2 linked regions of the Macaca mulatta genome follow. Each later gene encodes a partner of the first gene's protein in a complex. Links are inferred from orthologs where the notes say so. Each region holds a gene or a part of one and is shown in the gene's direction. Other genes may lie near its edges. The genes, in order: ARPC3 and ARPC5.

Region 1 (3,815 bases):
TCTTTTGGCCTTGTGATCTGTCAGCCTCGGCCTCCCAAAGTGTTTGGATTACAGGCGTGAGCCACCGTGCCCGTCCCATCCTGTGATTATTTTTTGTCTACCTTCTCTACTCTTCAAGGACCAGGACTGTACTACTTTGTATATTACTGTATCACAGTGTCTTGCACATAGAATGTGCTTAGCAATCATTTGATGGATGAATATATGAATGGGACCCATGTTGTCTTATAAAAAGCCAGGCATCTTGTAAAAAGCAGAACTAAGAATCAGCATACAGAATGCTGTCATAAATGTGATTTTTTTCTCCCTTCCTTTAACTCACACTTACCCACTGAAGGGAATATATATATTCTCATTTTACAAATTTGGAAACAAGCTAAGAGAAGAAGAATGATGCCTTGGTCAAAGCATAACGCCAGGAAGTGGCAGAGCTGAAAAGATAGTGCTTGGGTCTTGGTTTAGCTGGGGGCTGGGTACCCTGATTTATATGATGTTTGCCTTTCTGTGGTGGAAATACTTTGACCAGATACCAATGTGATGTCACCAAACATAGAATTGGAAGAGATGCACAGCAGCACCCCATTATTTAGTATTTCGTAATAATAACTTTAAGAACATGACAATAGGAAAATGTAATTTTTAAAAATTAGGTTATTGCCGGGCGCGGTGGCTCATGCCTGTAATCCCAGCACTTTGGGAGGCTGAGGTGGGCGGATCATGGGGTCAGGAGTTTGAGACCAGCCTGACCAACATGGTGAAACCCTGTCTCTACTAAAAATACAAAAATTAGCTGGGCGTGGTGGCTCGCACCTCTAATCCCAGCTACTCAAGAAGCTGGGCGGGAGAATCGCTTGAACCCAGGAGGCGGAGGTTTCAGTGAACAGAGATCGCGCCACTGCACTTCAGCCTGGGTGACAGGGCGAGACTCCGTCTCAAAAAAAAAAAAAAAAATTTAGGAAGTAGGCCAAGTGCAGTGCAGTGGCTCACGCCTGTAATCCCAACACTTTGGGAGGCCGAGGCGGGCGGATCACCTGAGGCCGGGAGTTCAACACCAGCCTGGCCAAAATGGAGAAACCCCTTCTCTACCAAAACTACAAAATTAGCTGGGCGTGGTGGCACATCCCTGTAATCACAGCTACTCAGGAGGCTGAGGCAGGAGAATCGCTTGAACCCGGGAGGCAGAGGTTGCAGTGGGCCAAGGTCACGTCATTGCACTCCAGCCTGGGCAACAAGAGCAAAACTCTGTCTCAAAAAAATAAAATGTAGGCAGTAGCTGGGTGAGGTGGCTCTTGCCTGTAGTCCCAGCCCTTTGGGAGGCCGAGGCAGGCATATCACTTGAGCTTAGGAGTTCGAGACCATCTTAGGCAACATGGTGAGACTCCTTCTCAAAAAAAAAAAAAAAGAAGTAGTGATGAATATTTAAGCATCATTGGTTTTAACATCATTTACTTTTTTTTTTTTTGAGACAGAGTCTCGCTCTGTTGCCCAGGCTGGAGTGCAGTGGGATGATCTTGGTTCACTGCAACCTTCGCCTCCTGGGTTCAAGTGATTCTCCAGCTTAGCCTCCCAAGTAACTGGGACTACAGGCGCACACTGCCACGCCCGGCTAATTTTTGTATTTTAGTAGAGATGGGGTTTCACTGTGTTGCCCAGGCTGGTCGCGAACTCCTGACCTCAGGCAATCCGCCTGCCTCAGCCTCCCAAAGTGCTGGGATTACAGGCGTGAGCCACCGCGCCGGCCAACATCATTTACTTAATTGTAAGTTTATATAATTTGATTTTTGAGAACAGCTGTGTTTAACAACCAGCTTGAAAAATGCCTCATAATTTAACAGTTGGTTTTCTTGAGCCAGAAAGAACCAGCTCTAGCACCTCAATGCTGCTATCCCTTCTCCCTCCCCTGATTAATCTTGGGTGGGTTACTCTTTTTTTCCTTTAAGGAAAGGTTGTTTGCCACAGTGACATTTGCTCTCTTTCTGCTTCTGTGTTCTTCCTGGGCTTGCCATTACAGGCTTACCACTCTTCTCTCATGGATCCTGACACCAAACTCATCGGAAACATGGCACTGTTACCTATTAGAAGTCAATTCAAAGGACCTGCACCCAGAGAGAGTAAGTCTAAACCCATTATTTTCAAATTTTGGCATGAAATGCCTAACAGTCTTCTAAAATGGTCAAATCAGGGAAATTCTTAGCTCAGTCTTCTCTCTCAAATTGTCCTTGTACTTTGGTAGATATTGTGGTCTAGACCTTTCAAGATAGTGGTTATATGTTGCATTTAATAGGAAATTGTATTATTTCTTCTGACTTCTCCAGGAAACTCTTTTGAGAAAATGGAGGAAATGTGCTTAATTCTGGACACTGTTTATCAGTTCTTTCAAACAAATCTAATGCTGTTACGTGTAGAATGCCACATGCCCATCCTTTCTGTTATCAACCTGGAAGAAAACAACAAATATTTTGACCTCTTCCCCGTCTAAATCTACTTCCTTTATTCATTCTTCAAGATCTTCATTTTTAGCAATACCTCAATCTTAAATCTGAAGTATACTATGTAACATTACTTTTGTCTATTCCTGCTTTTCTGAGTTTTATTTCAGAAAGCTGCAATATTTTTCAGACACTGTCTGAGACTCTTCTGACGCTTTCTGAGATGTTCTTCCAACAGTATTATTTGTATTATATTAGACACGGTTTCCCTGTACCCTGCAAGGGTCTGAACTGAATTCCATTCATGGTTTCTAAGACCATTATTATAATTATCAATTTGGTACTGATCCAATTCCCATTTCTCTGCCAGACTATTTGACTTGACCTTTTTTTAACTTAATTTTGTTTTCAACACCATTTGAAAGCTCAGTAAACTTTATAAATATGGTGAGTCACCACAGTCTCTACTTGATTCTGAGGAAAAGGAACAAGGAAGAAGACAGCCTGAGAGAGAAGAAAAATAACATAAAAGAAAATCACAGGGCTGGGCGCAGTGGCTCACACTTGTAATCCCAGAACTTTGGGAGGCCAGGGCAAGTGGATCACTTAAGGTCAGGAGTTCGAGACCAGCCTGGCAAACATGGCAAAACCCCATCTCTACTAAAAATACAAAAATTAGCTAGGCATGGTGGTGGGCACCTGTGATCCCAGCTACTCAGGAGGCTGAGACAGGAGAATTGCTTGAACACAGTGGGTGGAGGTTGCAGTGAGCCAAGATTGCACCACTGCACTCCAGCCTGGGCGACAGAGTGAGACTCCATCTCAAAAAAAAAAAACAAAAATTACACTGCAAAGGCCAGGCGTGGTGGCTCACACCTCTAATCCCAGCACTTTGAGAGGTCGAAGTGGATGGATCACCTGAGTTCAGGAGTTCGAGACCAGCCTGAACAACGTGGAGAAACCCCGTCTCTACTAAAAATACAAAAAATTAGCCAGGTGTGGTGGCACATGCCTGTAATCCCAGCTACTTGGGAGATTGAGGCAGGAGAATCGCTTGAACCTAGGAGGTGGAGGTTGCAGTGAGCTGACCTGGGAGGTGGAGGTTGCAGTGAGCTGAGATCATGCCATTGCACTCCACCCTGGGCAACAAGAGCAAAACTCTTGTTTCAAAAGGAAAAAAAAAAAAAAGAAAAAGAAAAACACCTGAATTGGAATGGAGGCCTGTGCTGTGAGCTAAATAACAGTATTAATCACACTAATTCATTTATATTCAACAAATATCTATAGAATGCCTCTTATGTGCCAAGTATTCTTCTAATTTCAGAATCCTTTGGCCTTTGCCCCCTCCTGTCATTACATTTAGAAGAACTAGCTGGTTTTTGTAAA
Region 2 (4,374 bases), on another chromosome or scaffold:
AGATAAAACACCATATATTATTAAGCAATTTATAAGACTAGTCCCAAAACCAATGGTACAAGTAACATGCATTTTACATTTATGTAGAATTTTAGAGCTTGGAAACACTTTCGTGATATTTAATCCTAAGAACAATCTTGTAAAGTGCACATTATTAGCTCCATTTCGGTGATGAGGAATCTGAGACAGAATTTCAAGTGACATGTCTCGTTCAAACATTATGAGCGGAAGAGTCAAGACTTAAGCCTGAGTTTTCTGATTATAAGCCCAGTGCTCTTTTCAACACAGCACTGGAAACCAAAGATTGTGGCACACAACAGGACAACAGCCAGTCTTCTGTTCGAGGTCCAACTAAACTAGACCCATACCTGAGCAATGTCCAGCCAAATGTCCAAATTAATTTTATCCTGCAAATATTTGTTCTTCAGTGTAATACACACAGCACAACTACCATTTCCTTCGTCTTAGTGCCTTTATCTCCTACATTCCGGAAATGGGGATGTCAAATATTTTTTTTAAAATCTGGCCTAGATGGAATCATATAAATCTTAAATCATAATATAAATCTTAAAGGTCTGGTTTCCACCAATCCTTACCCATTTTGTTTTCCCCCAGCACTAGAGAGCCTAACCTACCCTCACCCCTTTTCAGCATTCTTGCTCCAAACAACCACCTATTTTAAGATGTCAATGACCCTTTCCCAAATTCTACAAATTCACCCCAGTTTTGCCAACCGACCCCAGCGCCTGCCCGGACACATTCCCCTCCCTCCCAGTAGATTTGATACCGAGTTCAGGTTCTGCAGATCCCGTCGTGATGCTGTCACACAGCACTGACAGATAAGATTTGACCTTTCGACTCCGTCCTTGGGGACCTCCCGCTGGCCAAGTAGGGTAGTTCCAACCCCAGGAAACGGGCTTCCCGCTCAGGAACGCAGCCCCTAGCAGCGCACAGTCCGAGGTAACGTCTCCGGCAATTAGAACGATGCTGGGCGCCCGGGTGTGCATCACTCCGCCTCATACTCCTGCCAACTGCAGGGCACTCGGTCCGGCAGCCAAGTCCATCCCACCCACATCCAAGTCCCAGCCAGTCGGACCTTACGCAGGACCCGGATGACAGGTCGTTGACGGCTGCAGCAAAAGTCAATGCCACCTGCCGCTGCTGCCCATCACCGACAACCTCAGACCCCCTAGACTGGACCGCAGAAAAGCGTTTCTATGGGAACCCCCTGGGAATCACGTGACGCACTCGGACGACCAATCGTTTCTTACCTCCGCCCGCGATCCAGGTTTCGGCCCTCCCTCTCGCCCCCTCCTCCTTCGCCCAGCCCCGCCCCTTGCCTACGGAGAGCCCGCGCCTGCGCGCTGTGTCCTGCGCCCTCCCTCCCCCGCGCGCGCTCTCCGTGAAAGAGTGGGGGCGGCGTGGGAGGCGCCAGGAGAGCGTGAACCTGAGGAGGAAGCAGCAGGGTTGGCGCGCAGGCCCAGAACCGTCCCAGCCACGGCAGCCGGCGACGCCCCAGAGCGGAAGAGGGAAGTGAATCAGGCGCCGGGCAGTGGGCTGCTGGGCTCGGCTTGCTGAGGTAGAGGCAGCTCCAAGAAGAGGCCTTTGCCGCTGGTAGGGATTGGGATGTCGAAGAACACAGTGTCGTCAGCCCGGTTCCGGAAGGTGGACGTGGATGAATATGACGAGAACAAGTTCGTGGACGAAGAAGATGGGGGCGACGGCCAGGCCGGGCCCGATGAGGGCGAGGTGGACTCCTGCCTACGGCAATATCCTTGCATTCGCCGCCCTCCCCACCCTAGCCCAGCCCAGCCCGCCCTTGTCCAGAGACCCGGGAGCCTGAAGGTTCCGCGGGGCCCCGGCGCGGAGCTGCCCTGTCTACCTGCGGCTAAACCTGTCTCTTTGGGGTCTCCCGCTCTGAGAGGGCAGGAGGAAGCCCCCGTTTCCTACTCAGGAGCCAGGAGACGCGAGGGTCCCACTCTTGGAAGCCTGCCCTCCCCCGCGCGCCTTCCACGCCCCCAGATTCCTCAGGTTGCACCCGAGTGCCTGCCTGCCTCGGGAACCGGTCCCGCCGGCCGCGCCTTCGCGGCGTTGGGGAAGGCGGCCCGGGCTGGTGGGGAAGGCTGGTGCCGAGCGCCTAAGTTTTTCTTCCTAGAACTCTATTTCCCGGAGTCACATTAGCTCCAGAAATTTCTGATTGTGGGGAACCTGCGTCTTTCCTTAGTGATTTTGTTTTTTGTTGTGTTTTTGTTATTGCTAGCATTAAGATAGTTTATTCCTTACCGGGGGCAGAAGGTAGATGGTACGGTTTGAAAATTGAGGTCCCCTATGCTTTCAGCCCATTGGCCTTTAAAAAAAGAAAAAAAAGGGAGGGGGGGATTTGACAAAATATACATTGCACAGAATTTGTTAACCGGGGGAGGGGAATGAATACAATTTTTTGTATTCCTAAAATTGATTCCATTTTAGTTAAAATATGGCTGTCAGTTCCCGGTTTCTGTTTTTGCATATTTGAATATTCATAACTTTGACTCCGTATTTGCATTACATCTTTTTTAGAAAAATGTAAATGTTGCAAAAAACCGAAGCTATAGTTTTAGAAAATCTCAAACACTGGCTTTTTATGCATTTCTAATTATTGGGTGTATTCATAAGGAAGACTCAATGTCCTGTTATATGAGGAAAATGTGAGTGAAAATATTTAATGGCAACAGTATCCTTTTTTAAAGGCACCTAAATACAGCATTAGACATTTATCAATATATAGCTAGTCCTTTGATTGCCACAACTTTCACAATTAATTAGCTGTTGCTCTTTTGCATTATTTAAATAAGTGCTTGGGGTCATACAAAATGAGCTAATCACATGAGGCATGCTTCTCTAGAAATCCTTGCAGCCTTGAAAATAACAGCTTGTCAACCAGAGATTTTGTGTGTGTGAGAACTTTTTCTTCGGAAGATAAATGGTGAACATGCTTCCTAAAAACATTTGTGATGGATAGATGGTGTTTTATGAAACCCCAATGTATTTTAGGTAATTTATGGTGACTGCTGTGTCCATATCAGTGGATCCGCTTTTTGATCAGTACATCTTAAAATAAAAAGATACTGTCTTTTCTTACCCTTACATACAGCCAGGAAAGACAGCCCTAGTGGTGGGGTACTAGAGATGGAGGAACAAGTGAACTCTGTGGTTTTCCTTTTAGGGGAATGTCTGGTACATTCTGACAGTCTGATTGGCCTTCTGTTTCTCATGCTTGCTAACTCACTAGTGCTTTCAAAGAGAGTCTGAATTTAATAGGTATGGTCTAACACAGTTTGAATAACCGTTGTGAAATATGAGAGAAAATATCTAAAGCAAAAAATTAAGCTGCCACCTAAGGGACATATGAATTATTACATCTTCTGTGATGCCTCTTTTCATCAATATTGAGAGACTGCTAATGTGTATCATTGAGATTGCTAATCTGCCAGCATGTTCTACCAGCATTTCAGTTAATATAGAATATAGTAAAAGTTTGGTCTTTATTTTTTCAATTAGAATCACAGGAAAAGACATATTTTGGTTGATAATAGGTTATTTCATTTGGGGGACTAATAATTCTGATACATATTTTAGGATTTCTTTTTTTTTTTTTTTTTTTTTTTTTGAGACGGGAGTCTCGCTCTGTCACCCAGGCTGGAGTGCAGTGGCCGGATCTCAGCTTACTGCAAGCTCCGCCTCCCGGGTTTAGCCATTCTCCTGCCTCAGCCTCCCGAGTAGCTGGGATTACAGGCGCCCGCCACTTCGCCCGGCTAGTTTTTTGTATTTTTTAGTAGAGACGGGGTTTCACCGTGTTCGCCAGGATGGTCTCGATCTCCTGACCTCGTGATCCGCCGGTCTCGGCCTCCCAAAGTGCTGGGATTACAGGCTTGAGCCACCGCGCCCGGCCTAGGATTTCTTTAACACCACTCTAGGTAATGTTTGCATATGTATCTCACTGGGCAATGAAAGACTATCAAGGTGTTCATTTGATAGTTAGAACCAAGGGTGAAACAGTCTTTGCTTTATTAAAAAGAAAGTCTAATGTTCTGTTTTGCTTTTGATATCTTGCCCTTGATTAACATCCTGGAAACCAACACATTGAATTTCCAGTATTGAACATGGTGACCAGTAATTTTCTTTTTATATATAAAGCAAGTCTTCAGAACCAGTGGTTATAATACTTTCCTGGGGGCCATGCTTTGCTGCTACACCCTTAACTTCCATCACAGGAAACATGACAGCTGCCCTACAGGCAGCTCTGAAGAACCCCCCTATCAACACCAAGAGTCAGGCAGTGAAGGTGAGTCGCAGACTACAACACAGTGATCTCTGCTGATACCTTATTCTTAG

The links.
Region 2: ARPC3 (region 1) and ARPC5 share a complex: the UniProt entries of both Homo sapiens proteins name them as parts of the arp2/3 complex. The link is inferred for Macaca mulatta from reciprocal best matches to the Homo sapiens genes ARPC3 and ARPC5.

The regions. Positions count from the first base shown.
Region 1 is NC_133416.1:117,612,952-117,616,766, reverse strand, and holds part of ARPC3 (actin-related protein 2/3 complex subunit 3), read left to right. Parts: intron 1-2,011; coding exon 2,012-2,111; intron 2,112-3,815. UniProt on the Homo sapiens protein: Component of the Arp2/3 complex, a multiprotein complex that mediates actin polymerization upon stimulation by nucleation-promoting factor (NPF).
Region 2 is NC_133406.1:41,108,229-41,112,602, reverse strand, and holds the start of ARPC5 (actin-related protein 2/3 complex subunit 5), read left to right. Parts: upstream 1-1,482; 5' UTR 1,483-1,626; coding exon 1,627-1,770; exon of another isoform or gene 1,771-2,713; intron 2,714-4,252; coding exon 4,253-4,324; intron 4,325-4,374. UniProt on the Homo sapiens protein: Component of the Arp2/3 complex, a multiprotein complex that mediates actin polymerization upon stimulation by nucleation-promoting factor (NPF).